Danio rerio: one gene and its partners. The protein of the gene in region 1 purifies or fractionates together with the protein of each later gene. This does not show direct contact. Links are inferred from orthologs where the notes say so. Each region holds a gene or a part of one and is shown in the gene's direction. Other genes may lie near its edges.

Region 1 (5,657 bases):
GCCCCAGTATGAGTGAAGGGGACACTATACTGTCAGTGGGTGCCGTTTTTCGCATGAGACGTTAAACCGAGGTCCTGACCCTATGTGGTCATTAAAAATCCAATGGCACATGGCAAGAGTAGGGTATAACCCTGGTGTCCTGGCTAAAGTCCCTCAATCAGCCCTTACAATCATGGCCTCCCAATCATCCCCATCCACCGAATTGGCTCTATCACTGTCTCTCCACTCCACCAACAGCTGGTGTGTGGCGAGCGCACTGGCCCCATTGTCTTGTGGCTGCTGTCGCATCATCCAAGTGGATGCTGCACACTGGTGGTGGTGTGGAGAGACCCCCCTCATGATTGTGAAGCACTTTGGGTGTATGGCCATACAAGATAAATACGCTTTATAAATACACACATTACATTACAGTACATTACAAATTTGTTGATGGTTAGTTAATTTTGCTAACAAATTTTACTTTTAAAAGAACTAATTTTGTGCAAGGTATATTTTAACTGTAGTTAAATTATAGTAATTCTCAACATATATGAATTGAGTGTTTTTTGTATACTTTAAGTAAACTTGCACATAGCCTACAACACTAAAACTAAAATTTAACAAAGAGTACGCTAAGAGCGATTGCATTATTTTTTGTGTGTGTGTGTGTGTGTGTGTGTGTGTGTGTGTGTAGTTGTAGTTAATTCGAAGCCCAAATTCTGAGCTTGGGGCAAACTAACCATTTACTACAAGCATTATGACTAGTTGTACACTTAAAGTGTACTGTCACACTTATACTACACTAAAAGCTAGCCAATTTAGTTCTATGATATATTCAAGTATTACAAGTAGCTCATAACAAGCGTTCCCAAACTATTCAGCTAGTGAGCCCCAAAATAACAATTCCAGTGACTCGCAATCCAAACAGTACAACATACAAACAGTGCACACAAAAAATAAATAATTAAATATATATATATATATATATATATATATATATATATATATATATATATATATATATATATGTGTGTGTGTGTGTGTGTGTGTGTGTGTGTGTGTGTGTAAGTGTGTGTGTGTGAGTGTGTGTGTGTGTATGTATATATATGTATGTATGTATGTATGTGTGTGTGTGTGTGTGTGTGTGTGTGTGTGTGTGTGTGTGTGTGTGTGTGTGTGTGTGTGTGTGTGTGTGTGTGTGTGTGTGTGTGTGTGTGTGTGTGTATCAGGCCCGGATTGGCTAATCGGGAGGACCGGGAGAATTCCCGGTGGGCCGGTGCGTTTTTTGGCCGCGAGGGCCGGTGTCCCTAGCTCTAGAATCTGTTGCTCTCAGCAGTCACACTTTTTAAATTAATTTATTTACTTACTTGACTACAGTCTTCTTATTCATCATTTTACCGCAGCTCTGCTCTTTTTATATATGACCAGCCTGCAGGTTAATGACGATATTAGTCAGATGAGTCAGTCCTTCATATACAACTGTTGTGGTCCAGTGGTTAGCACGTTAGATTATGACGCTAACTTTCAGTAACTCGCAGCGACATATATAATATATATATATTTATATATATATAAATAATTTTTTTTGTCAATATTTAATTTACTATTAATCTCACTTAATGACAACGGTGAGCACACTGTTTGCAGCACAAGACTATTCTTGGTTTAATTTTGGGGATCGTCCTCTATGTGTAGTCGTGGCCTTTATTTTTTATGTACACGCGTGCCGTAAAGGTGTCAGAGTTTAACATTGTGCCATTAATCTAGTGTAATAACCCCAGGGGTTGGAATCCAATGGGAAAAGAATTGAAAGGCTGATGGCTTTTTATTTGCATGCTGTTATTTTATTTAACTATTAAATACCATGTTTATCTTCTGTAAGTTATGGATAAAATATGGCTATTCTAATAGTTTAATAACATATATTAAAGAGAAATCACCAAGCAACCCACCCTCATTGTCTCACAAACCCCAATTTGGGAACCACATAGCTATACTACTAGTAGCCTACATAAATGTTTATGTGAAGTATGCTTAAGATATATCAATATTAACTAACTATACTTAATAAAAAGGAACGTGAAGTATACTTCTTTTTAGTAAGGTTAGGCTACTTATTACCCATGTGGAAACCAAGTTAAAGTCTACTTTATTTTTGTTATGTAGGCTAGTTTTTTTTTTTTTTTACTTTTTTAATTGGGGTAAGTTAATAATAATAGACATCTGCCTAGTATTTGTCGATCTAAACATATAGTACATAAACTCAATAGTTTAGTATATGCGTCAAGTACATTACTAATCTACTACATGTTTCTGAACGCACACGGAAGATAGAACAGAAGTCACGTGACCCGCGCGTCAAAGAAATCAGCTGAGGGCTCGGAGTTTCACTCAGGAAATCCAGGTAAACCGAACAACCAAAGTACATATTAAAGTAAACGATGCGTATTTATAAACTGTACATGTGTGCAGACTTTACGTAAATAGTTGTTGAGGGTAGTTTAAAAGAGAAGTCAGTAAAGTAGCAAGCGCAAAGTTCATTCACTGAAGCATATTTGTTGACAGCGCGATTTGTGTTCACTTGACATGAAACTACACTGTAAGATTCCCGAATGTTAATGTTTGTTGTGTGTCAGCAAAGTTAAAACAATAGCTGTCTAGTTTTATAAATGAAAATGCGTGTTTGTGAGTTTGTGAGCCGTGATTTCCGCATTCTTTCGTTTTGCAGGTGCAGCGCAGATCGGTTTTACTAGTCATCTGTTTAGTACTAGCCTGCTAACCAATAAACAACATTACGCCAGCTATTTTCGAGTAATTATTGAGCTAATAAGGCATATTTCAAAGCAAGGTGAGCAACTATATGGGGCAAGTTTTCTCGTTAATTCAAAATGACAACAGTAATATCATTAAGGGAGATTCTAAAACGCATGAAATAAGCTTAATAATTGAGGTTAAGTTGATTTTATACTATAGACTTTATCCTTAATAATATAATTTTGGCTAAGAACTGCACATTCTGATTAGGGACATCATATTAGCATCTAATGACTTTCAAAGTACACGCTGCTCTCAGTCAATTAAATAATGCTAATGTTTAGGTCATACTTACATGTGATTTCAGACTTCATATATAAAGTAGCATGGTAAACAATATAGGGAGTGTATCACAAGTTGTCACTGAAAGAATGTGCGAATATAAAACCAACTTTGCCTCAATAGCTTAATATACCTAAACATCAACCAGAGAAGCCCACATTTCGATCAAACTTTACTTGTAATTAACCCGAACTACTGTTAAGACAGAGTCCCAATTCCATAAGTGAAAAATATCACGCTAAGCGTTTTCTCCACTATTGAAGTCTATTATAAGTAAAAGCTTAATGTGGCTTAATGTACCTCAACAACAAGTGGGGGGAACCAAATTTCTATCAAATTTTACTTGTGGTTAGCACTAACTATATAGCAAAAAAATTAAAAATTTGCCCCATTTCCACAGCTTAAGTGAACAGCGTTTTTCCCTATGTTGTTGTGGGGATGTCAATGACATGCACAAGTGCATTCTTTTGACAGCAAAGGGTTAATCTATAATAAATTAAGTTAGATTTTTTGAACAGCTTTTTTATAATTTGGTTTCCCTCTGTTTTTAAGTCAAGCTTTCCTTATTAAGGACTTCAACGGGGAAGAAAACACTTAACGTGATATTGTTAACTTTATCTGTGGAATTAAGGCCCATTCTTTTAAAAATAGTTTGTCTTAATCACAAGTAAAGAAATTTGGGTTTCCCTGGTCTGGGTTAAGATATGTTAAGCCACGTTAAGCTGATTCCTTATAATGCGCTTCTGTGAGGAGAATGCTGAAAGTGATATTGCTCACTTGATACACTAAAATAAAAGCTTGTTCTTTTACAGCAGTAAGTGTTTTTCATGAATATATATCTATAGAAATTTGATTGTCTCTAGATGTTAAGTTAAACCACATTAAGCTGTTATAATGGACTGAAATGGGGATAAAATGCTTAACAACATTGTCCGCTTTATCTACAGACTAAGGGCTTGATCTTTTGATAGTAGTTAGTGTTAATCACAAGTATTCGATAGATTTTTGGTGTACCCCACTTGTTGAGGTATACATTAAGCCATGTTAAGCGTTTTCCTTTTATAATGGACTCAGTGGGGAGAATTGCATACCGTGATAATTTTTACCCACTAAAATAAGAGCTCATTCTTTTGACATCAGAAAGTGTTTGTAACTTTTATAGAAATTTGGTTTCTCCCACTTGCTGTTAAGGTACATTAAGCCACGTTAAGCTTTATCCTTATAATAGACTCCAATGGGGGAGTAAACGCCTAACATGATGTTTTTCAATTTATCTGCTTAATTGGGACTCATTCTTTTTACAGTAATTAGGGTTAATTACAAGTACAGTTTGACAGAAATTTGGGGTTTTCTGGTTGATGTTTAGTTACATTAAGCCCCGCTTTCTTCATGTTAAGCATTTTTGAATGTCCCCATTAATATAATTAAGAAACGCATACAAAATAGTGAGCAATTGTTTTGGTCTCCAAATAGTACAGTACGTTTTAAGGGTAACTTAAAGTTGGTTTATATTCACACATTCAGACTTTCTCCTTAATATAATTTCAGAAAACTATTCTTTACTAATACTAAATAGTCAAATCATATTCCCAGCAAATGACAATTAAAGTACAGCATTGTTCATGGTCAATTAAATAGTGCTAATGTTGTTTTGGAGGCATATGATTCAGACCGAATATTTAAAGTAGTAAACAATATAGGAAACATGTCACAAGTTGTCCCTAAATGAATGTGGGAATATTAAACATTAATAAGTATGTATAGTTTGTGTAAAACATGTTTACAACTCGTGAAAGTCTGTCACTACTTGACATTTATTAAAAACGTCGCAAATCCAGCATTTCAGTTCATACATGTTAATATACAAACTATTCTGTAGCATGTAGGATCAAATATAATGATAGTTGAATGTTATTGAAGGAAGAAATTGATAAGCCATATGTAAAAACACGTTCAAATAGTATGTTTTAGGAGCAATGTATATAAGAAAACATGTTTATGAATAAATTGTATAAGCTTGTTATTATGTAGCGCAGTATAAGAGATAATTGTGCGATTGTAGGCCTGCAAATAAATGTGATTTCTACAAATGTGTTTTCTGTCTCTTTCATTAAAGGCTTCCATCATGTATGGATCAAGAGAAGTCGATGCCAATGGGCTGGCACAGACTATTAGTTCAAACATCCAGAGGATAACGCTTCTAAGTGAGTACATTCACTCTTATTTATGTGCTATAAAAATTGTATAGCTTACAAAAATGTACCATCAGTTTTTTTTACCAAACAATAACTGTTAGTAAACTCGTACTTTTTTAATGATTATGTCTAGACTTGACTTGTATTTTTAGCCACGCCTGGATGGTGGTGATGTTTCTGTTTTCACATCTTCAATTTCTTTGTTCAGTTGTTCTCCATTTATCTGCTATGCAATTTAATGTGCTACATTCACAAAACCACAACAGATAAAAAGTCAAGTACAAGCGGAACACATTTGTTTACGACAAAACAGTCCTTTCTGTAACCTGATAACATGGGAGGTGTTTAAAGCTGATTTAGATCTTGCTTCTGTTTCCCAGCTAATGA
Region 2 (5,398 bases), on another chromosome or scaffold:
TTGATTTGCTGTTGTGTTCACATGCTCAACAGAAATGACTGTGATTGGCCGTGAAGGTCATTAGTTCACCAAACTCAACACTGTTTACTGAGTGTAAACACAGATACAGGGACACAAGCATTTTAAAGTCACGTCAATCAGCTGGTTTGTCTATAACTTCACATACAAGCGATCTGCTGATGAATTGCGGCTTTTAAATGCTCCAGTGTCTGTATCTGTGTTTACACTCAGTGAACAGCAGTGAGATTGGTGAACTAATGACCTTCACTGCCAATCACAGTCATTTTTGTTGAGCATGTGAACACAATGGCAAATCAGCTGTGTTTAAGAACGTAATCAACAGTGTTTAAATCTTAGCAAGAGATGGATGCTTTTTTAAGCTTCAGTATCGATTGGTATTGAATTCCAGTATCGTGACAACACTAGCTACTAGTTTGAAACATTTAAAGGGCGAGTAAACATTGACAGATTTCATTTTGTCGTGAACCAGTTCTTTAAGGCAACATTTCAGTTTACTGTAATAAGATTTATTATTTTTAGTACTAAATACTTGATTTTAAATGTTTTTTTTTTTAAATTCCGTTGGATTTGACCTGACCTGAATGTTTCTTGTACAGGAGAAGGTGGCCCTCAAGGCAATTACGTTGCGAGCGGATACAGTGTGTATGAGGAGGAGAATGAACATCTACAGGAGGGACTGAGAGATAAAGTACACGCACTTAAACACGTGAGTGGCCTTCATATCTGATGCTCTATTTTGATTAACTACTCTGCATAACTATTCTTATTTTTGGAAAATATGTGTTTAATCTTTTAATTATGCCTTTTGCAGTTGTCTATTGACATTGGAAATGAAGTCAAGATCCACAATAAGATGTTGGGAGAAATGGTATGTGTCAGGAAGTTTTTCAATGTCTAGTAGGGGTTTCATGGTACACTAAAATGACTTTTGTTTTGAAGTTTGGTGTTTTCTGTTTAATGGGTGGAAAAATTCATAACATTGATGTTTTTACTATACAAATTGTGGCTGTGTCTTTAAATAAATTCAGTTAAAAGTACAGTTGATATTAAGGGTAAAGAAACTATAAATGTACAACTGCTATTGAGGGGAACAACTATAAACTATATATGGAGCCTTATTATTTAAGCATTGCTATATTTAAGTGTACAGTTTCCAACAGGGACCTTTATTAAATTCAGTTGCAATTAGTTTTTAGATATTGAAATCCATGCTAAAATAATTCTAAATGCAAACATGAGACTGTTTTTACAATAATTTAAATCTAATTATGAAATTGTTTCTACTCCAATTAGTAATCCAATTCCTTTGTAACGGATTCATTTAAACGTACATTATATATTAAATATGTATTGAAAAGTATAAGAATAAAGCATTTATTGTTTGAATTTTAAAGTAACAAAACAAAGCTTTTATTTGTGCATCTGAAATAGGGCTGCACAATCTTGGGAAAAATTGACAGTATTTAGTTTTTCTGCGATATATTGCGATATTGATATAATTTCACAAGATTTGTACCACAAATGTATGAGATTTTCCCATTGAGTCCTTGGAAGTGTCAGGTGCAAATAGAAAGGTGTTTCTACATGTACAGCACACACAGAAATGCACAGTGTGTTTCAAGAGGGGGACTGTGGCGTCTTAAGCCCCTGATGTATTGTCAAAAGCCCCTGATCTTTTGTTGGAATATGTTGCACTTAAATAAAAATAGGTTGTATAAAATTTATTTTGTTATCAAAGTTTTTAAAATTAGCTCATACATCACTGTGCTCCAGTTAACGCAGCTATTAAGTCATGTAATTAAATTGTCAGCTATTCTGCAGTATCTGTTTCTACCGGCAGGTGGGAGTGGCACAGTTGTCACATGGTTTTAAAAAAATCCCATCATCATCATTCATTATTTTGAGGAGCTGATGAGGTAATAATACAATTCGCAAAACTGAATAGTTGTAACTACTGATTTTTTAAATAGCTTTTTTTAATTTGTTTTCACAGTAAAAAATGTGTGTAGTTTTGGTGAAATACAATAACTAATTGATCAAATGTGCATCATATCAATGTAAATACACGCGAATTAGTCAGAAAAACGTAAATTGTACTAGCTCTCTAGATATGATATAGATATCTAGGCATATTTATCTAGATATGATATAGCCAGGCACATCTGTTTCTGTAATGGTTAAATCACAGTGAGGTAATGCATCTTATTATTTTATAGCTTCTATTTAACATGCTTTATCAGTTAGCACCGAACTTAGTTAGCACTTTACAAATCTTGAATACCAATCAGAGACAAATGGGTGTTCAGCACTGCCTACATGTGCATTATTAATTTTAAAATCATCTATCCATTTTCCTACCCTAAAAAAAAACAACAACAAAAAAAGTTTGTTCTATTGCAAACAAAAGAAAACCGAAAAACGTCAGTTTTCTTAATTTTCCTTTTTTTGCTTGAAAACAAATATGAAATGGACGGAAGATTCCCTGATTGTGCATGAAGATGCTTTGTTGTGTGTTTTAGAATAAGTATTTTAAAATGCAATATTTAATGTGTCAGACACAAAATACAAGTTTTTAAATTAAATAATAATTGAATATTAATATGACCAGTTAATGGTTAATATTCTGTTAACAAGTGGCAGTTGTCAGTTGGCAAAATTAACTGAAATGAGCATCCCTAATTTCAATGTATTATGGCTAAACTTTGCAGATCTCATCTTCTGAGCGGTGGTGTTGGATTTAGTATAATCCCATCTCAACATTGCAGATCCAGGGATGTGACAATTTCACATGCAGACATTGAATGCTGAAATTGTGCAGCTCTAAATTAAAAAGTGTTCTGTTGTAAAAAAAAAAAAAACTAAAAGATTGACATTGGGATTTAAGAATAAATATTCATGCATTCACATTAAGGCATTCTAAAGTTCCAATTGTGCTGTGGTTAAAGCAACGCTGTAATCTTTTGAAACGTAAGCATGCTAAACAAATTTACAGTATATACAGTTGAAGTCTAAACTATTAGCTCTTCTGTGAAGTTTTTTTTTTCTTTTTCAAATATTTCTTAAAAGAGGTTTAACAGCAAGGAGTTTTTCACAGTATTTCCTATAATGTTTTTTCTTCTGTAGAAAGTCTTATTTGTTTTATTTTGGCTTGAATAAAAGCAGTTTTTAATTTTTGTTTTTAAAGTCATTTTAAGGTCAGTGTTATTGGCCCCTTAATCATTATTTTTTTCTCGATTGTCTACAGAACAAACCACTGTTATACAACGACTTGCCTAATTTAACTTGTCTAATTAACCTACTGCCTTTAAATGTCACTTTAAGCTGAATACTCTGGAAAAATATCTAGTAAAATATTATGTACTGTCATCATAGCAAAGATAAAATAAATCAGTTATTAGAGATGAGTTATTAAAACTAATGTGTTTAGAAATGTGCTGGAAAATATTCTCTCTGTTGCACAGAAATTGGGGGGGGGGGTATACAGGGGATAATAATTCTGACTTCATACGTGTACTTGCATGTTAAACCCCTTTAATTAAATTTCTTTTTTAAGATAGTAGTATTGTGAATAGCTTTAATATCTGACTCGTTTTCTCCTTAAGGACTCAGACTTTGACTCGACTGGAGGTCTGCTGGGAGCCACCATGGGCCGATTGAAGCTCCTCTCCAGGGGAAGCCAGACCAAGGTGTACTGCTACATGCTGCTGTTTGCTCTGTTTGTGTTCCTCGTCCTGTATTGGGTCATCAAACTCAGGTGACCACACAACTCCTGAGATCCAGGACTTTATTACATGCCATGCTCATTTGGGGTAGAAGAGCAAAATCCTCACACTTATGATGATGGTAATGATGATAATGAGGAGGAATTAAGGGGAGCAAATGTGCTTTTCTGGCCAGTGAATTAGAAATTGAACCATTGAGTTACAATGTGCAATATGAGAGAAAAAAAAAAAACATCTGTCCCCAAAATTACAGTCTCTTCAATGGAGAAATGCTACTTATACTGGAAAAACATGCATATTTAATTCAGTAATAATTAAACATTTGTTTGTGTTATTCTTTTAAGAGAACTTCATTGCTATGAATGGGTGATGATTTATAAATTCTAATGGATTTATATATATATATATATATATATATATATATATATATATATATATATATATATATATATATATATATATATATATATATATATATACTATTGAAGTCAATGGTTACAGGTTTCCAGTTCAAGGCAGTTTCCAGAAGAAAATCAATCATGTGTGTTTGAATAAAATGTCATTTGTCTTCTATTCTGTAATCTATTAAAGGTCCCACAGAATCAAAACAGTGACAGAATTCAAGTTTAGAAGATATAAAACTGATATGAACATGTCAAGCTTATAGATTGTCACTTCACCCAAACGAATCAACTGTTTTATTCACATGAACCTCATACTGCAGTTTCTCATCAAATCATAACCAATTTACTGCTCTCTAGTATCTGACATGCCCCGGCCCGCCCCTATTTTGTGCTTGAGCTGACAGAGCGGTGATTAAACAAAACGCTATTGGCTGTTTTTAGGGGAGGAGTTACCCTGCCCCACCCTCTATTGGTGTTTCGGTTTAAATTTACGTCAAACATCAGATAAAACATCCACATTATAAAGCACTTCATGGGACCTTTAATGTCATCACTTCTGAATCTGCAAATAAATTAGAGCAATGCAAATTATTCATTAAAGCATCAATGTTTCAGTTTCAGCAGAGTTAACAAAGCAATATTTAGTGGAATAAATAAATTGGGCAAAAATACATATATAAAAATACATATATAATAAAATACATGTATAAAATAAAACAAATATTAAAGTTTTACTCAAATGCATACTTGGTGAATCCAGTTCCTCCAGAGAAACTGAGAATTTTCAAGCGGTTCATGATTCAGGTTATGATAAATGCCCAGAACTGAAACCTTATTCATTTTTATTTTTCCTCTTTACAACATTGTTTGCAAGAGTTGCCACCAAACCTTTTTTATTTATTTATTTTTTTCCTGTGGGGCAACTAGTGTCCGGTAGTGTTATACAGTACAGTACAGTATATTATAGTCTTTAAAGGGCTGATCCTGAAACTGTGAAATAATAATGAGATATGTGAGATCATGTGCAATTCACTTCTGTATATTAACCAACTAAGGATTAATCCCAGAACTCTAAATATTTCTTGCTTATTTCTCCTCCGCTCTGTGGTTAACGTCATGCATGGTTTAATTCAGTTTTTAAGAAAGTGTTTTGTAAATAAATATCATTTTGAGAATTATTACATAAACATTTCCTCTATGTTGTCAAAAGTTTGAGAGTCTTAATTCTTTGTTCTCAAAAAATTCCAACAG
Region 3 (5,149 bases), about 33 Mb from region 1:
TTCACTTAATATTAAGTGGCCTTAACTACCGTGTACTCGCTTTTAAATTAATAATTTGGTACAAACCACTTATTATACACATACATACATGTTTTACATTGTACTTGTATATACATTTTTAATTATCTGCTTGTAATTACAACTGTAATTTATTTCTGTAATCACATATACACAGTTGACCAAAACCTTAAATCTTAACCCACCCTTAAACATGCCAACAAACCTGTCCCTGACCTTAATAGCACTATAAGTGCTGTGCAATACAATCTAAACACTTTAGTTTACATAGTTTTAATGCATCTAGTAGATATGGCCATTTAGTATATGGTGGGACTGAATTTTGAAGGCTTTAAGCCATGCATTTCCATTACATTTATAGCTTTCAAAAGAGAAAAAAATCATTTATTGTTTCTTTTCCATGGTGTTTTTTCCTGGTAAGGTAGCATGGAATTTTCCAGAAGGAATTTTAGCGAAGTATCACAGGTCTGGATGCAGTTATAGAGAGTTATATAACATTAGTCATGGAGATGTTGAAATGATCAGCTGAGGTATGTGATCAGTCATGGATGTTACAACAAAACTAATGAGAGGTCAACTAGATGCCTCCTGATCTGTGATTGAATGCAGACCGCATGGACTTTATATCTCTTTGTTCATCAGCAGTGTCTCCTTGTCTCCATGTCCTGAACAGGTTTATCTTTGGGTAAATTATTTTCTAGGAAAGCCAGCATCACACGGTGTGACCACATTGTGCCCTTCAGAGTGTTCAGTTGTCCTTGACGGCTGGCAGACCACTGTAAACATAACAATAAGAATTGATTGAGTCTCAGACTGTTATTTCAAACACCTGGTTTCAATTCAGACAGAACATTAGATTAAACCCACAATGCCCAGTTGTGCCCAGCCTGATATACTCATCTTCTTAATTTGCAGAGGAACCTACTGGAGGAAGACTCTGATGAAGAGGAGGACTTTTTCCTGTAAGTCTGCAGTTGTGCATAATCACTCTTGAATTGGAATAATAACAGATCTTCTGCATTAATTATTGTTTGCGTCCAGCTTTTGATTTGTCTAGCTTTTTTTTAATGTTTTTTTTTAAAGGAGAGGACCGACAGGACCAAGATTTGGAGGTCAAAATGATAAAATCAGACAGTACGTACACAATTTTTCTTTTAAATTTTTTCTGTTGTTTATGGTTTGTATGTGAGCAGCACTAGTTCTGTGTTCCCTTTGTGGATTGACAGTACAATACTTCTCATTTCAGTCAGTTGTCGTCCATTTGGTCTGTTCTAGCATAGGCTTTTGGTCCAGACACTATATCTATATCTATAGCTTATTTAACAATGCAGATTGTGTCAAAGCAGCCTAACATAGATGAAGAAAAGAAAGTAAAAGCAATAATATTTTAAATTGTGGAATTTTCCAGGAATTCAGGCAGGTAGGCCAGAGAGTAAAGTCGAATGCTGGTGTAGTTCTAGTAAATTGAAACTGTTTCACTTCCGTTTTAGTATAAATTCAGTTTAGTTCATTGATATAGGGTGTTTACACCACACTTGTAATTAGATGCACAAATATTTTTAGTTTACTTCATTCTTGCGTTAAAATCAGTTCACAATAGACAAAGATTGATGTCATGGGAGGGCATCTGTCTGCCTTGTGACTTCAGCTTTGTTGCTAATGGCTAACATGAATTTTATGAAGAGAGTAGCTGTGCTTCTCCAGAAGCTGTGCCAGGATCACAGAAGCCTTCAGTGGTATTTCCGACTGAGCTAGTTCCAGTTTGATGAGCTGTTGTCCTGTTTTCACTGGAGGATTTTTCCCTTGGGACACCATCAAAAGAAACTATGTTGTAGTCATGGCCCTAGTAGAGCAAGTTCCTGGTTAACGCTGCACCAATGTCCACCAAAGTTCAGATTTTTCAACTGAAGTGTCATTTGCTCCATTCACATTATTTGCTTGATTCACTTCATTCGTGCAAGTAGCGTCGCTGGATGTCTAATCACTTCTTTGCATTGACCTAACATGTAAATCACTTGCGCTAGACCCTACATCCACATCTGGTGTGAGCCTGCATCAATGCAAATATCATTGCTGAAGGCCGATCCACTGAAGAGCAGTCCACCAATGTGCGGCTTCACTAGTGCAGCCAAGCAAGCAAGAGGCGAAAGTGGCAAGGAACCAAAATTTCACCAATTGAAGGAAGTGAAGAACAAGCCTTGAGAGAAATCAGGCTAGACCATTCTTAATCTTGCTAAATGTCTTGTACAGAGGTGCAGTATGGATGCCACAGGCTTGAGAATAAAGGATGCCCGTTGGGGAAAAGGTGCAGGTCCAGGTTGGTCACTAGGCAGTTGTTCAAACTAGCAGACAGGATCAATGCGTTGACCGATTTGTCACTGGGGTCTTTGCAGAAACCGACTCAATGACCACAACAGCCATCTGCTCAGGATATGGGTTGTATTAATCATTTTGTAGACCTAGTGATAAGAAAAAACAGACTAACACAAGCATAAACATGTTGGCCTGGTGTGTCCCAGGCTTTCATTGATTCCTGGTAATTTGGCATGCCTTTGACAATGCATTGTTTTTATGTGAACAGTTTTGTTTTTTAATGTAAACAAAATCAGAAAAAAATATTTAAAATATCCATGTGGACATGGCCTAAGATTGTAGTCTGAGGATGCAGTCTGTGTTGAGGCTGAGACTAAAAGAGAGAGTCAAAGTTGGGACCAGAAGATGGTCAAGTTTGAGTCCAGGCAGAAACCTAGAGAGGGTTGAGTTCAAGTCAAGACTTGATGTTTTAAGTTTGGTAGTTATTTTCAGAACTGAAAAACTAGAAATGTTCAAGTAGTAGGATGAGCTGAGCTTAAAAATGTGGAGGCAGATATCTAGAGATTTACACTGGCAGGGTGTTATGGAAATCGCAGTTCTTGATTCAACCAGCACTGCCCATGTCGTTGTGCTTGTAGTTTATGTAACCCTTTATAATGACATCTGTGAAAACACCCACCCACAAACACACCTCCCGTCTGCAAAGAAGGGAAGCACTGTAACCATCTGGGTTTCTATGAAACAACATAATATTTGCAGGCAAAAGTAAACAGCTACTCCCAATATTCAAAAGTTCTTCTGGTCCTGACGTGGATGTAGTAGCCAGACTGTGAGCTTTTCTTTGTTATGAAGTTTGGTACATACTAATGTGTTGCAGTAATTCTCCCAGTGGAGACCTAGCAGAGCTTCGCCCAGTGTGTGCAGCCACACGACACCAGCTTTACGTAACCATGTGCTGCACTGTAGAGTGACCCATAAAACAATGGAATTTAATAGGGAAACCTTGGAAGGTGAAATTTTCCTAATGTTTTTTTTTTTTCTTGCCTTTGTGTACTTCTCTGATTTTTGCACTTACTTCATTTGTCTGTTGGTTATTGATGTGGAAGCAGGGCTGCACGTGGAAGGTACAATTCCAGGTGCAAGAGATGTGCAAGGTCCTGTGCCATTGGCACTGATGATGGTTTGTACTAGGCGGGCATCCAGGCACAGAAGCAAGGGGCAAAACATCCTGTTCTCAGTTCATTTACAGGTTAATCTCCCTTTTCAAAAGCCATGCCAAGCTCTTGTGCCAGGTGTATGAGAGCAGCTAAATACCTCACATGCTATTTAGTGCGTATTTGCTTGTCATGCCTATGAGATCAAATATTTCAAACTATTTGGATGTGTCTAGACTATGTCTAGCAAAACATTCTCACCACCTCTCGACATTGCAGGGTCAACAGATCATAGTCATAATGATGAATCCCGAATGGTTTATAGAAGAAGAAAAGGTTCACTTTTTCAAAATAATAGAATCACAGGCCTAAACATGTGCACAGAAGCTGTTAAAATGTCCTGCTGAATCGAAAGGAAGTACCATACCATTCCCCTCATGTTGTCCTCTCTGTCTTGTTGGTCTTCAGGGTGCAGTCTCAGGTCGATGAGGTCATTGACGTCATGCAGGAAAACATCTCCAAAGTGATCGAACGAGGAGAACGTCTAGATGAGCTGCAGGATAAATCTGGTAAGATGGATGTGAACGAATCATTGTGAATCCTTTGCCACTTGCTAATTTCTTTAATTCCAAGAGAATCAAGACATGATTCTTGGACCATCACAGAAGTTTTGTAGTTTCTTCTTCAGACTGGGAATCTGTAGTATTGTGAACATGGGAACAATTTCATTTAAGTTCAATTAGGGCTGGGCGATATGGCAAAAATGTAATCTCGATAATTACTGTCCATATCGAACAATTAAAATATATATTCTGATATCAGTTGTTAATGCTTCCACATTTAAAGAGTACCCTAACAATGACTGAAGCCTCAAAAATTAGAGGGTCCATTAAATGGCATAATGGACTAAGTTCAATTTAGCTATAATGAATCAAGGACAGATTTGCAGATCTATGTTATTAATTTCTGTGCCTGTAGTTGCAAATGAATAGATGGGAAAGCCATGTGTAAACAAACTATTATTTCCAATCGGTCAAATTCGACAGCTCATTAAACTTGACCAAACTTGATCCAGAGGACTGTGGGAAACTGTTCTGAAGCCCAGTGTGATGTCAGAATCAGACCTTCTGTTAGTTTTGTATTTCACCGTACCTGAACCTCTTGTGAGTTATGTCCCATTTCTGTTATTTCGTTTGGGGAACCGCCTGGGGACACATGGCCAGGATAGTGGGTAAAATGTCTTGTGGTCCACACTGTGGTGTGGTATTTTTCTCATTTCAGGCCAAGATGTGAAAAATAAACCAAAAGATGTTTGTGCATGGGTTTGTCTACGCTGATCTGAAATGAGTGGCTAGTCCCAAAAAAACATGAAGAGTTCAGAAGCAAAAGCCTCTAAGTTACATCTGTTCTTCTGAAATGAGCATTTTTCTCAGGCTCCTGTGTGTAGGTTTAATAGTTTCACCAATGATGCCAATTAACAGGTTCTTATATTGTCTTTAAAAGTAAAAGGGGGTCAACAATACTAAATGGATTTGAGGATGAACTTTGGCTAAAGGCCGAAATATCATTTTAGATGTTTTATAATGTGGTCTGATATATCTATTATTGTGATATGATATGTCACTCACATTGTGCCCATGTTTTGTTATCACATGATCTGATGA
Region 4 (5,149 bases), on another chromosome or scaffold:
ACCAAATTTGGTAAATAGTTTTTCTAATAACTCAAATAAAAGAGCTAAACAAAACAATCACAAGAGTTGAAAAACAGTACAAAATGAACACACAGATGATACCATTTCATTAATTTGACACAAAAGAAGATGGAGTTATTTCTGACACTTGTACGAAAGCTCCAATTAGGTGTGTTGAAGGATGTTGGAGCTACACTATGCAGAACACTGGCTCTCCAGGACTGAGTTTGGACACCCCTGTCCTAGAGAAACGAAATATTGAATGAGTAAACAGTGGGTGTGGCTTGTTTTTTTTTTACTGCGAGCTGATTGGATGTAGTAAAGTAGGCGTTTCATTTAGAAAGATCCGGAAAAGGGTTTGGATTTAGGCCCAATCCCAATTATACCCCCTTAGCATTTTCACATTTCAATTAAAGATTACAAGCATTTTTTTCTTAATGACATGCACAGATGAATTGTTCAGCACAAAACTAGCAATGTGAGCTAACTAAATCAATACGGTTAGTTTTGATTTCAGATTTCATTTGTACTTGAAGAAACCCTCTACTCCATTGCTGTTAGTATGAAGTGCTGACTACTAAAGTCCTGCTGCTTTACAGAAGCCTCCAGCCATCCTGCCAAAAGATTCACATCATTAAACTGATTACTAAAGCTCCATCGCTGCTCTGACAGCTGTTTGTTTACACACATGGCACCATTCCTTGACCTTGATTACTTTTTCAGGCTTTAGCATCACTTTTTCAGAGTTCTCTAACAGCCTTGCGGGTGTGTTTTTTTTTTTTTTTTTGTATACTTCTCCAGGTGGTGGATATCATGAGAGTGAATGTTGATAAAGTCCTGGAACGAGACCAGAAGCTGTCAGAGCTGGATGATCGTGCTGATGCCCTGCAGGCCGGAGCGTCTCAGTTTGAGACCAGTGCCGCCAAACTCAAGAGGAAATTCTGGTGGAAGAACGTCAAGGTAAAACTAGCAGTAAAACACTAGTAGTTTAGTAATACTTGCTTCAGTAAATCAAATTTAGGAATGTTTTTTTGAAGTTACATCTAATTTATTAATAAAATGTATATGTTTTCAGTGTTTTGAGGGATATTAAGTGACTTTTAGAGGTTGCTGTTGGTCAAACTATACAAATGATGCGTCTAATTTTTTGTTTTTTAGGCTACATGCAGATATGAACACCTATTTTACGTGAAACGTGTTTTGTGAATACTTAAGTTGTCCATCAGAGCTCTTGAACTGCCCGTTTCAGACCGTTGAATATTATTTTTTAGAATTGATTGGTGCGATTATGCATTCACAATGGTATAAACCGTAATGGGGGGTCAAATATATAGTTATTTAATAAATTTTTAATTATTAATATGTAAGATATAGACCAGAGAAAGCTATTTCTTACTATTAAAGGGCTGACCCCCATACATCTTGATTTGATGTCCTTCAGGGGGGGTCAATCGTTAATTAGAGGAGTCAAACCCCTGTAATTCGCTCCCTGCTTTTAATTAATTTCATTAAAGGCATGATTAGGTTATTAGGTTAACTGCAGTAGGTTCACACCGGAGGAAACACGAACACAGGGAGAACATGCAAACACCACACAGAAATGTCAACTGACTCAGCCGAGGCTCGAACCAGCGACCTTCTTGCTGTGAAGCGACAGCTTTACCCACTGCGCCACCGCGTCGCCTACATAAAAATGGTCAATTGTAATACTTTGATTGCATTAACACGTTTCTGACCACCAGACGTCCCTACAACGTAGAGTTTCAGACACTTCAAAACGTTGAAACATTTTGCGAAGCAATTCTTCAATTGCTTCTAATGCTGGGTTCACCCAAGACGAGGAAGAAGTGTCAAGCACGAGTGCTTTACATGTTAAGTAAATGCAAAGATGCTAATAGACATCCTGCAACGCGATACGTGTGAATGAAGCGGCGCAAGTTGATCGTTTTGCACGTATCACACAAATCGCTCGAGTTGAAAAATCTGAACTTCATCAGACATTCGAGCCTCGTTAACCAATCATGAGCTATGTCTTGTAGGGGCGTCACTATGACGTAGCGCCTGTTGTTGGTGTCCCAGGGGAAAATCCTCCTGCCGACACTGGACAGCTTATCACACTGGGCTTGGCTCAGTCAGAAGCACTGCTGAAAGCTCCATCGTCCATGTATAGTTTCTGGAGGAGTTTGAGCTCAGAGCTGGGTGCACCTTTGAATGGATCTAGTGCACTCAGACACGGCACATAAACGCAGCTATTCTCTCAATAAAATCAATGTTAGCCATTTAGCAATGAAGCTAGAGTCACCGTGCAGACAGAAGCCCCGCCCATGGTGCGAATCCGTGTCTGTTGGGAAGTGAATCTGATGCGCGAATAAAGCGGGTAAACTTAAAATGTTTACGCGCGAATAGCACGATTTATCTGTGCGTGCACCATCTAGTGTGAACACAGCATACGCTTTGAAAAGCTTCATTTCTGCCATCAATAGTGGCTACATTGTTATAGTACAACGACTAGCTGTAGAAGAGCAAGCAAATACCACGTGGAAACAGGACCACAATGTCTCACTTCAGGGCTCGAAATTGGGACCATTTTGGTCGCATATGCGCCCGAAATTTAAGCTATGCGACCTCATAATATATATTGGGAGCATTCGTGCGACTGCATATAATAGTTGTAGTGCGACCTGTTTTTTTTTTTTTTCTCAAAACGTGGTAAAATCGGTCTTCCCTGCCGATATATTGGTTCATATTAGCTGTCAATCACTCAAGATTTTCCGCTGTCAGTCGACAGGGAGAGAGCTTTTGTAACCTTGGGGAATGCAAACGGCTGAAAAGTGAAAAGTACACTGAATCTCGATGCGTTGCATGCACTGCATGTTCAGCCAACACAATCTCACGGCAATTCATAACATTTTCAAAAGTTTCCTCGTGAGATCAGGCTGCAACAGCGCAAATGTCCGCTAAAACACCATCGCCAAAGAAGCTTGCCTTTACTGAGTTTAAACTGATGCGGGTTATAACAAAGAACAGTGTTGCCCCTGTGGTCATCGGGAGAATCCTGCCCTGCCCCCCTCGTATTGGGCCGGCTGACTCGCATGCTTTTCCACAAACACATATGTAATTCAGCGCGTAACGACGCTGAGCATTAAAACGACACGAACCGAAACACGAACTTTTAAAAGTGAGACTTTTCTTCCTTTCTTTTGTCCGTTCTTTCTTGAGGTGTATATTATTTTTCTATTTAATTACTGATGACTGCTTTTCAGCTTTCAGCATTGAACTAAATGATTTATTATATTATTTCGTTTGTTTTGTTGCAGAAATATTATTTATTTAATTGACATGCATATAAAACAATAGTACAAAATAAATATTTCTTACTACAATGCTTCATTTGTGTTTGATGCAAACCATTAATTTATTTTTCATAAAGTAACTGTAGGACTATATAGCAGATAACTTACATTAAAGCGGGACTAAATTTTGAATCCCGCTCCCGCCCGCACCCGCCAGGTTTTAGCCGGAACCCGACCGCTCCCGCTTATATTAAGCACTTGATGTCCCGCTGCCCGACCCGCCCCGTTTTCTATCCGCCGCGCCCGATCCCGCTAAAGAGCGGGGGGAGAACAAAACCGAATAATCACCCAGTTATACAGTCCAGACAGTCTATAACAAGCTGTCTGTATAAACACACACACGCACGGCACCAAGCACACACACACAGACAAAGCTTTTTCTCTCATTTGCGCGCGCCCTCTAACACACACTCATAAGCACCAAGCACAAACACAGGCAATAAGGCAAAGCTCTCGCACACACACACACACACACACACACACACACACACACACACACACATACACACACACACACACACACATACATACACACACACACACACACACACACACACACACACACACACACACACACACACACACACACACACACACACACACACACATATCTGTCATTCGCGCGTGCGCATACATACACACACACAAACAAACAAGCTAAACACAGCATCGCGCTATTTCATTTACACACATACATACGCGTGCTCACTCGGGAGTCGGGAGCGATATTGCTTGACAGCCCGCTCCCGTCCCAAATTAAACCCGCTACCGACCGCTGCCGTGATTTATTCGGAAATTTATACCCGCGCCGTAGAAATCTGGTCGGGTCCCGCGGCGCCCGCGGGACAGCCGCAGGAATGCAGGCCTCTACATTCAAGGCAGCATGATGATGAGAAATATAATTCATTATTAGTATTATTATCATAATTAATATTTTATAACTATTCAACATTCATTTTGGAATTATTGCACAAATATTAAGTCTTCACAGCATTAGTTAGATAGTTGTTTCTGGGTTTTGTTTGTCCCAATTGATGTTGTTTTCAAATACAATCAATCCCTTAATATACAACTTGTCAAATATATCATTCATTTTTGGTGAATGCTCCTAAATTTTTTGTGGTGCTCCTAAATATTTCAGATTGGGAGCACCGGTGCTACCAAGTAAGAAAGTTAATTTCGAGCCCTGAACTTATACTTTTAGTCCAGTTGAACTGCCTTTACTGCAGTTGCTTTTTACAAATATAAAGACATGTATTTAAAAAGAAATATTCTTACGCACTAAATTGTCAATTTGTTGTTCGTTGTCTTGCAGATGTGGGCCATTTTGATAGCTGTGGTTGTGATCATCATTATCATCATTGTCAGTAAGTTCCACTTGAGGTGGCAGCAGTGTGAAATTTCAGACTTCAGCTCTGTGATTGTGTTGGAAGTATTTAGGACATTACTAAGTGGTGGATGGACATATAATTAATGCATCTCCATATATGACTGTTCATTTTTCCTTTTTTCAGTCTGGTCGCAGTCATAAAGTGGCACAGAGTCTGGTTGTGATCGGAGGAAAAGATCAGGATATGAAGGAGTATTCACTTCAGAAAGAAGAGTGAATGAATGAACAACCGGTTGCTCTTCCAATAAGTTCTAACCTGCTGATTTTCAAATGCATATTTTGTAAACTATCTTCAATGGGTTTTTTTTCTTTTAGGTTTTGTTTTTAATGACTAGATTTGAATATGTTATGAATTCAATTCCAAAATACATCAAACACACTCCTTTTGTGCTCAGCAAGTGAGACG
Region 5 (4,375 bases), on another chromosome or scaffold:
CAGTATATTAAAAATAAATACATTTGTAAAGTAGTTGATATAATTCTCTAGTAAACCAATGTAGTACTAAGCTCCGATATCTCTTGACCAATAATGGACAATGTTGAACATTAATGTTTGTACTTAAAAATGCACTCTATGTAATACCGTTGACCTTCGTACACTTTCTAATCTAATGTCTATCTTCTTTCATTTATTAATTTTCTTGTCAGCTTAGTCCCTTTATTAATCTGGGGTCGCCACAGCGGAATGAACCGCCAACTTATCCAGCACATTTTTACACAGTGGATGCCCTTCCAGCCACAACCCATCTCTGGGAAAAATGTCTATCTTATCCTTTTTAAATAAAACTTCCTAGCTCTGACTTTCTTCTTCAAATACACTTTTATTTGTTCTAATACTGTCTATAGAGGTTGATCTACTTCTAGCACTAACAATCTGTTTTCTGTACTTTTTTCTTTTCTAAATAATTTGGCCTTCTGGCATAACGCAGTTTTCTTTTTCTCTCTCTCTCTCTCTCTCTCTCTGTCAATTCAAATCAATTAAATTCAATAATTGTGTTATTTGCATGACAATTGTAAGAAATGTATTGCCAAAGCATTCATAAACTTTACTTTAAAAAGAACATGCTTGTAACAAATAAGGAATGGTTAACTATTTTGAAACACAGATGATCACAGGTAATTCAGATTCATGGAGAGAATTTATTTGGAAAAATGTAAACATGAAACATTTTATTTTAGGTGTTATAAAGAACCCTTTCAAACTAGAGATAAAAAAGGTGAATGCTGTAGAAAATGTGAAAATATATTGGCTGATTATGTCCACATATTTTGGTATTGTAATATTATACACACCTATTGGCAAAATTAAATAAAGAGATAAATGCTATAATAGGATTGAATATTGATTGTAATTTTAAAACTATCTACCTGGGAGTTTACTCTTCAAAAATACTAAAAAATGAGGGATATCTTCTTAATACACTTCTAAAATCTAGCAAAAAGGCCATTACAAAAAAAATGTCTCAAGGAACATCCTCCATCTGTAGGTGAATGGTATGAGGTGTATGATATGGAAGTACTGACACTTTCCTTGAGACAATTAATCTATAAAGTTTCTGCATACTGTGGTAAATTGTTGAAAAGAAATTATTTTTATTTTATTTTATTGTGGTGATTTTTATTTATATATATCAAGGGCCTGTTGATCTCAAGTAACCCTTGACAAAATTTTATATAGCAACATTTTATCAACCATAAATACGAATGTAAATAAGATTGTATTCAGTGACCGTTGACACTTGTATTTTATGTCTTTTTTGTTTCCATGTTCCTTTGAAAATGTTTTTTGTTTGTTTTTGTTCTGAACTGTTTTGAAAAAAAAAAAAAAAAAAAAATATATATATATATATATATATATATATATATATATATATATATATATATATATATATATTAAAAAAAACAGTAAATAGTCGTAGTAAATAATATAATAATAATAATAATATAAAAAATTATAAATAAAAAATGTAAATAACAAATGTAGGAATAATAATAATAATAATATTAAATCAAAATAAATTTTACATTTAACAATCAAGACTTTAGGATAAAACTGTAATAATAAATAATAATTATCAGTGTATATTTACAATGATTAATTTATTGGCGCCATAACAGTTATAAATGTTACATTTGAATAGGAAATTTGCAATACCTGTGATACCTTGATTAAACAGTTTGTTTGTTTTTTCTTCTGTTTTTGAATTAAATTGTGGTTACCGGCTTATTAAATTACATGTACACAATAAAATTTGACTTATGGAATTAAAATTCCTAAAATGCTGCTTGCATTCATTTCAGTTTTATAAGTAGATTAATAGTTTTCATTTTCAATGTATTCAATTTATTTATTGCACATACATTAGACAGGCTTTTACTCAACATTTTGCAAACGTTCCTGACCTCTTTTCAAACTCATTATGACATTCTGTCTCTTTAGATGTATTGTATAACACAACAGTGGGTTATTTTCATATTTATGCCCACCATTTTAATTTGCTTTTGTTTTGTGTGCAGGAGCATAGAGAAGGAGAATCTTCACAGGATGCAGATCGAGTCAAAGCTCTGCAGTCTCAAGTGGACGGGGTCAAGGATATTATGACCCAGAATGTTGATCGAATTCTGGCCCGTGGAGAAAGACTGGATGATCTAATGGGAAAATCTGAAGACCTGGAGGCCGGGGTGGGTTTTTAATACAAAACCTCTTTGATCCTTATCACGTATTACAGCCGTAAGCCTGGCACAATGTTGTTAGTATGTACACTCACTGTCGAGTCTAAGGTCAGTTGGATTTGTTAATTGTTTTTGAAAGAAGTCTCTTATGCTCTCCAAGGCTACATAACATTTTACTGTCTGCATTTTGAGTGGTTTTGAAATAGTGAGCTAGAGTTATTATTTGAGATATTGAGCTAGAGTCATTTTATTTTCTAATAGTTCAGTAAAAGTGTTTTTATCATAATTTATGCACATATTTTCTTATAGAATAAAAGGTTTATCTTACTCAGTTATGTGCATATGTTTTTTTTTTATGCGCATTTTCAAAATTTATGCGCATCTTGGCGTTTCCAACAACCGTTTTTTATGCACATATCTAAAATGCGCATAAAAATAGGTGGTTGGAAACGTAGCTACTGACAATTTAAAATAACAGTTTTTAGTAACTTATTAATTTAGAATGTATTTTTTTTTATTCTTTTGATGTTAAAACTGAAAATTTCAGCAGTCATTGCTCCAGTCTTCAGGGTGACAGGTACCAAAGAAGGTCTGCACTCAATAATTTATTTTAAAAATCACAGGAGAAAAGAAAAAACAAACATTTCGACTGTGCGCTTTTGTCAGTGTAATGATTCTGAAACTCTTGCTGCTCAAATACTCAGTAATTCCAGGCGTTAGCAATCAAAAGAGTAACAGATCTCCTTGATCTTATTGGTTTCAGTTAAAATCAAATTGTCATAAATCAGGAATAGATCAGGGTCATATGAATTTTTAGGAACATTATAAAGGCTACTTTTTTGGTTTCCCAAGAATGCGTTTCTTACACAAGACAAAAGCAGGGATGTTCCGATCGATTGGCCAGAGATCAGTATTGGCCAGATTATCGAGTACCAATCGAGTCATGAAATCGGCCAATCTCATAAACCGATCCCAAGTGTTTGTTTAAGAGTTTAGGCAGAGTAAGGGTGAAACTTTTTCATGTTGAATTCTTCTACCATCATTTGCAGTTAATACAAATTGCATAGTTAGCAATTTTTCTTACCATTTTTTTTATCTGTTTTATCTATTATTTTCTGTAAAGCTGCTTCTGATCATGACATGTCCACACTAAATGGCTATAAGAGACATGTTAAAGGGATTATATGCAACCTCCTTGCTTTTATTGTCTTATGTAAGGAGAGATCTCCACATAAGTGTCATACTTAGTGAAAATACTTAGTGTCATACTTAGTATGCATTATAAAGCTTGAAGCATCAGAATCGGTTCTTGGTATCGGCCGATCCTCATGACAAGAAATTGTTACTCGGTATCGGCTGCAAAAATCCTGATCAGAGCAGCCCTAGACAAAGACTTATAAATACCAATATTTTTGACCGGAATTTGTGCAACTTTAGTTTTAAGGTCCTATGAAATTACAATAAAAGTTTTTTAGACATTAGTATCAGTATTGTTAGTTTTTATGATATTTATAATCTAGTGTGCTTCAAAACCGTGACAAAATTAGCTTTTAGAAGATATGAAACTAATATGAACATGTAAAACTTAGTTTGTCAATTCGCCTAAATGGATCAACAGTTTTATTTACGTCAATGAAAATGCATATTTCAAAGCACTTCACAGGACATTTAAATAAATTTTCTCACTATTAAACTCAGGTTTATTACCTCCCTCTCATTAAGATATCGGCTGGTCATTAGTACTTATTAAGTACATACTCTGCATGATCATATTGAACATCCCTAATCCTACCTAATACCTGAGCTTAACTATTAATAATCAGAAAAGTAGGAGTTTATTGAGCCAAAAATGTATAGATCATTGGTTTATTAATAGCCAGAATTGTACCTTAAAATAAGGTGTAACCCAGTGCATGTCTTTACTGTCTTTTTATTACCAACTTCATCTCATGTACTTACCAATCAACCTTTTCCCCTTTTTTCTGCTACTTAGGCCCAGAACTTCAAGCAAACCTCCCAGAAGGTCGCTCGTGCTTTCTGGTGGAAAAACGTGAAGCTGATTGTGCTGATTGTTGTGATAGTTCTGGTCATTTTACTGATTATCATATTCCTTGCAACTGGTGTGATTCCAGTCAGTG
Region 6 (4,572 bases), on another chromosome or scaffold:
CTGCAGCTGGACTCCACATGTACAGTTTGTTAGTGCTTATTTTTGGACTGTTACAGCGGATTTTTAATTCCTCATTAATTATTAAGATGAGTCACCTTAAAGGGTTAGTTCACCCAAAAATATAAATTCTGTTATTTATTACACATCCTCATCTAATAGAAAATCAGCAGTTCAAGTGGGAATGGGAAGATCATTCCACCAACATGAAACGTTGATTAAAAATGTTTTGGAAAGTGACTTGGGTCTTTTTTGTGATGGTGCTCATTTTCTAAAAACCATTATCAAACATTCCATGTTCAACTTCAGTAGTTCAACTGTAATCATAGTATAAATTTGCAGTTGGTGTGAATCATAAGCTCTCGCGGGTCAGATAAATTGATATGGCAGAGTAGGCTGGAATTTGATATTTCATTAATTTGCATATAAAGCACAAATAAACACAACAATAGTTGACCACTGTGCTGTAGAACGAGGCAAGAAGGATATCAAATAGATAAAAATATACTTATAAATACAAAACCCTGCAGACAAAAAAAATTATAAAAGTAGAGTTAAAAGTAAGCCCGCACAGAATCTGTGTGCACAGTAATCCGCAGATTTTAAGCCCATCATCTTTTTCATCTAAGCCCACCAGTCTTTTTATTTACTTGTAATTCTGTGTAAACTTATATTAATTCAGTTTTTTTTTATTAATTTCTGTTATATGATTGACTAATATGAAAATGTTCATATGATTTATTTACTATGCAGTTTGTAAAGTCATATTTTCTGTCTTTTAGTAGATATATATTATAATAGACACTTGCTTTGTTTACCAAATAAGTGGATCTAATTGGATTCACATTGTAAAGTTTCATATATTAAGTTTTTAGTTACGATATTCCCAAAATTTTTCCTTACAAATCCTCAGATTCTTTTTTTACAAAACTCTCGACAGAAATAGCAAAAAATGTCTGCAGATTTTGTCTGGACCTAGTTAAAAGCAAGCATGCAAAGATGCAACTGTAACTTGGATTTAAAATGATTGAAGGAAGATGCAGATATCACAGATAGGGGAGGATTATTCCACATAGATGTTATACATGTGATATAGACATTTGTTTTTACAGTTGTTGATTTTTGACACACAAAAGTAGTTTGGTTCTTTTTCTGTACTTTGCACATATTGGGACTATTGCTAATTATATGGAGGATGAGAAAGCTCTCAGATTTCATCTAAAATATCTTAATTTGTGCTCCTAAGATGACCAATGTTTCCATTGTTTTGCATTAATAAAGATTTACTGTATGCTTTATTGCCATTTTTTTTCTTTCCCCGAAGAATAACAAATGATGCTCGAGAAGATGAGATGGAGGAGAATCTGGACCAGGTGGGCAGCATCATTGGCAATCTCAAAAATCTGGCTTTGGACATGGGCAATGAGATCGACAAACAAAACAAGACCATTGATCGTATCACTGATAAGGTAAAGATACACACACTTACACTGCTGAGTAGATTACAGTACATTATTAGTTACATATTGTATAATGAAAATAGTAGTTTGTAAAGGCCCGGTTGGATCACACGATTTTGGCATGATTTTTTTGACCTTGGGTGTTGTAGAGATTGGTAAACAACAAATAGACGTCAGGACAAAAGATTCCATCGTTTCTTCACCTGTAATGTGGCATAGTTCACGACAACCGATCCCATGCCTGCGACACCTCGCGACACCGTCGCAGAAAGTCTAGCATGTTTATTCTTTTGTTGTTTCTTACGATGATGTCCACCACGTGTGTGGCACGGCCCAATAAGAGCACATAATATACAAGTTATTTTTGTAGGTGCTCCTGTTAATGAGCTGGTCAGGTAATCAAAAAACAGGCTGCAAATTTACAGATGGGTCAGTCACGGGTGGATATGACCAGTCATTGGCTATGCAAACTTTAACTACTTTCTCTAAAATATGAAAGTGTTTTAAGCAATTTTATCTGACAGACTGGCACAAATATGCCCACTTCTCCATTCAGAGTTCTCTCTTCCAGGGGCACCAGCAGGATTTTATTCAAAGATACGCACATATATAGCACCACCCGGCCCCATCATCCCTTATTCTCATTTCAATCTCAAAAAACACTGATGCTTGCTGTCAAGGCTACATTTATTCATTGTCGCAAGTGAGACCGAGAAAATGAAAGCACATCACTGTATTTCAATAATTTAAATTATTAATTACAATAATTTATCATTAATAAAATAGTATAATATAAAATTAATAATTAGGCTAATTTTAATATATTTTTGTTGCTCAGTTATCTACAAAATAAACAAGAATAGCACCTGAGGTGAAGTGCTTCAAAACCGGTCCGCTATAACCTTTGCTTCAGAGCCAAAACTCAAACTGGTTTGTTAAATAAAATATAATCAAGCCTAAATAAAATTAAAGTGAAATATTCACAGTTTCAGAGAAGCCTATATTAAACTGTTTGTCACTGTAAGTGACGAAACCATCCGTTGCGCCGCTCAATTACAGTTTAATTTGTTTAATCATGTATGTTTTTTTTTTTTTTTTTTTTTTACATCTCCCACCATGCAAGTACATACACACTTTAAAACACACAATCACACCTTTAATTATTCTCATTCTTTCTTGCTTTGTCAATATATCGTAGTGTATACTGTTTAATAATAAATTCACATTATTTAATAAATAAATAAGCGGCATTAATTTGTGCCCTCTCATGGTTGAAACGCACAATGTACGGCTGCAGGCGCCACTGCTCTCAACTTTCCAACTGAGTTTGTTCTAATAAAAGCCAGTCCTGCTTATTCAAATGTGTCATTCATAATAACAGTTTAATATAGGCTTCTCTGAAACTGTGAATATTTAACTTTAATTTTATTTAAGCTAGATTATATTTTTATTTACCAAACCAACACAATCTCACGGCAACTCATGTTTTAGCGCTGAAGCATGGGCCTATAGTGAACTTGTTTTGAAGCACTTCACTTTAAAGGTTATTCGTTTTTTTTTTTTTTATCTAGTAGTTAACTGACCAACAAAAAATACATTACAATTAAGATACATTTTATAGCTAACAAAAATCCGTTTCAAAAAGATATTTTTTCCAAGAAACATTTATGAATTATATTTTAGTTTGTGCCCGTCCAACTGTGCGGTGATGATTTGATGCGCTCCGTAGAAAATAAGGATTTAATTAATTCTTCACTGCTTCACAGCTGCTGATGTTCTTTCATTTCATGTTCAGGCAAGGGAGTGTTTAATAGAAACATTGGCAGAAAAATATACAATTTCAAAGAAAATATATTCATATTAAAAAAGAAACATAAAAGTTTGATCCTATCAATGTCATAACAAATGCCTTTAAATAGTTATTAGGCCAAGTTGTCAGCCAGCATTAGTGTTTATTGAGTTTGAAGTTAATTATATTGAGATAAGAAATATTGTTACAGCAACACTCCAATACACCACTTATCTCATTTTTGATTGCGACTTGTAAAAAGCATTTACGTTCTTGTCCTTTTTTATGAGAAATTTTCCAAAGCTTTAAAGACACCTGACTCTTCATTTAATAAACACTTTATTTGCGACACACACTCTGCCAATTTTATGTTTTTAAGTCATTTAATTCAAGTCATTTTAAGTCATAAGTTTACATATAACTTGCAGAAAAAAATAGCATTTTGCATTTAGTACTGGCCTAAACAAGCTTTTGCATCAACAAATTCATAATCATTACTTTTGCCGGTGCAAGTTTTATGGATGCGCTTGAACACGGAATAGGCTATAAGCATGTATAATTTTGCATCATATCGAAGGAATCGTAAGTTTGGTCCTATCCTAACGAATGCTCTTAAATAATGTAGTTAGTTGTCTGCAAGCATCAGTGTTTATTAAAATTAAAATAAGATAAAAAATAATAAACAAATTGAAATCGAGATTAAAAAAATATATTGTTATAGCAACATTTGTGACTGCTTTGAAATGACACCCACGACAAGTCAAGATTTTATCAAGAAAAAAAATTAAAAATCGCATGATCTGACATAGTTACTTTCGTAACCGACAATAAAAATCGTATGATCTGACCGGGGCTTAAAGCAATCCATGTTTTGTTTACTTTTGGTCTTGAGACTTACTCTAATTAGATGTTCTTTTGTTAATTATTGTTTATTATTATTAATATTAGTAGCATGTATGCTGTTTTGATTGCCCAAACCTAAGCATAACTACTGCAACCAATATACTTGATGGACTTCTTTAAGTAGCAATGATTGCATTTATTAAAGGAAAACATAAATTATGATACCAGAATAATATAAATAATGGTAATATAAAGATAATTGTAATCATTCATAATACTTATATGAATAATACACATACATATTTCATGTTCGGCCTATAACGTAACAGGGCTATTAAATGTGTTATTTATTATTATATTGAAAATGTAAAGTGGAAAAATGTTTGGGGGTCCCAGTTGCTTTCTTGGATGCCTATAAGCTGAAAATGTTTGAAGAATATTAATATTATTATAGTATTTAAACTGTATTTTTAATATATAATT

What was found.
Region 2: the proteins of stx7l (region 1) and bet1 purify together in Homo sapiens (affinity purification with mass spectrometry; 3 studies listed by BioGRID and IntAct, with this or other methods). This does not show direct contact. The link is inferred for Danio rerio from reciprocal best matches to the Homo sapiens genes STX7 and BET1.
Region 3: the proteins of stx7l (region 1) and vamp4 purify together in Homo sapiens (affinity purification with mass spectrometry; 3 studies listed by BioGRID and IntAct, counting the BioPlex papers as one, with this or other methods). This does not show direct contact. The link is inferred for Danio rerio from reciprocal best matches to the Homo sapiens genes STX7 and VAMP4.
Region 4: the proteins of stx7l (region 1) and vamp3 purify together in Homo sapiens (affinity purification with mass spectrometry; 3 studies listed by BioGRID and IntAct, counting the BioPlex papers as one, with this or other methods). This does not show direct contact. The link is inferred for Danio rerio from reciprocal best matches to the Homo sapiens genes STX7 and VAMP3.
Region 5: the proteins of stx7l (region 1) and vamp8 purify together in Homo sapiens (affinity purification with mass spectrometry; 7 studies listed by BioGRID and IntAct, counting the BioPlex papers as one, with this or other methods). This does not show direct contact. The link is inferred for Danio rerio from reciprocal best matches to the Homo sapiens genes STX7 and VAMP8.
Region 6: the proteins of stx7l (region 1) and snap23.1 purify together in Homo sapiens (affinity purification with mass spectrometry; 3 studies listed by BioGRID and IntAct, counting the BioPlex papers as one, with this or other methods). This does not show direct contact. The link is inferred for Danio rerio from reciprocal best matches to the Homo sapiens genes STX7 and SNAP23.

Annotation. Positions count from the first base shown.
Region 1 is NC_133195.1:49,558,360-49,564,016, forward strand, and holds the start of stx7l (syntaxin-7), read left to right. Parts: upstream 1-2,334; 5' UTR 2,335-2,383; intron 2,384-5,191; 5' UTR 5,192-5,200; coding exon 5,201-5,279; intron 5,280-5,650; coding exon 5,651-5,657. UniProt on the Homo sapiens protein: May be involved in protein trafficking from the plasma membrane to the early endosome (EE) as well as in homotypic fusion of endocytic organelles. Mediates the endocytic trafficking from early endosomes to late endosomes and lysosomes.
Region 2 is NC_133194.1:43,528,087-43,533,484, reverse strand, and holds the end of bet1 (BET1 homolog), read left to right. Parts: intron 1-617; coding exon 618-727; intron 728-832; coding exon 833-889; intron 890-3,623; coding exon 3,624-3,779; 3' UTR 3,780-4,074; downstream 4,075-5,398. UniProt on the Homo sapiens protein: Required for vesicular transport from the ER to the Golgi complex. Functions as a SNARE involved in the docking process of ER-derived vesicles with the cis-Golgi membrane.
Region 3 is NC_133195.1:16,243,322-16,248,470, forward strand, and holds part of vamp4 (vesicle-associated membrane protein 4), read left to right. Parts: intron 1-933; coding exon 934-980; intron 981-1,101; coding exon 1,102-1,152; intron 1,153-3,953; coding exon 3,954-4,054; intron 4,055-5,149. UniProt on the Homo sapiens protein: Involved in the pathway that functions to remove an inhibitor (probably synaptotagmin-4) of calcium-triggered exocytosis during the maturation of secretory granules.
Region 4 is NC_133186.1:42,698,916-42,704,064, forward strand, and holds part of vamp3 (vesicle-associated membrane protein 3), read left to right. Parts: intron 1-801; coding exon 802-960; intron 961-4,668; coding exon 4,669-4,720; intron 4,721-4,867; coding exon 4,868-4,884; 3' UTR 4,885-5,149. UniProt on the Homo sapiens protein: SNARE involved in vesicular transport from the late endosomes to the trans-Golgi network.
Region 5 is NC_133180.1:28,881,749-28,886,123, forward strand, and holds part of vamp8 (vesicle-associated membrane protein 8), read left to right. Parts: intron 1-2,081; coding exon 2,082-2,246; intron 2,247-4,230; coding exon 4,231-4,375. UniProt on the Homo sapiens protein: SNAREs, soluble N-ethylmaleimide-sensitive factor-attachment protein receptors, are essential proteins for fusion of cellular membranes.
Region 6 is NC_133192.1:35,130,823-35,135,394, forward strand, and holds part of snap23.1 (synaptosome associated protein 23.1), read left to right. Parts: intron 1-1,321; coding exon 1,322-1,466; intron 1,467-4,572. UniProt on the Homo sapiens protein: Essential component of the high affinity receptor for the general membrane fusion machinery and an important regulator of transport vesicle docking and fusion.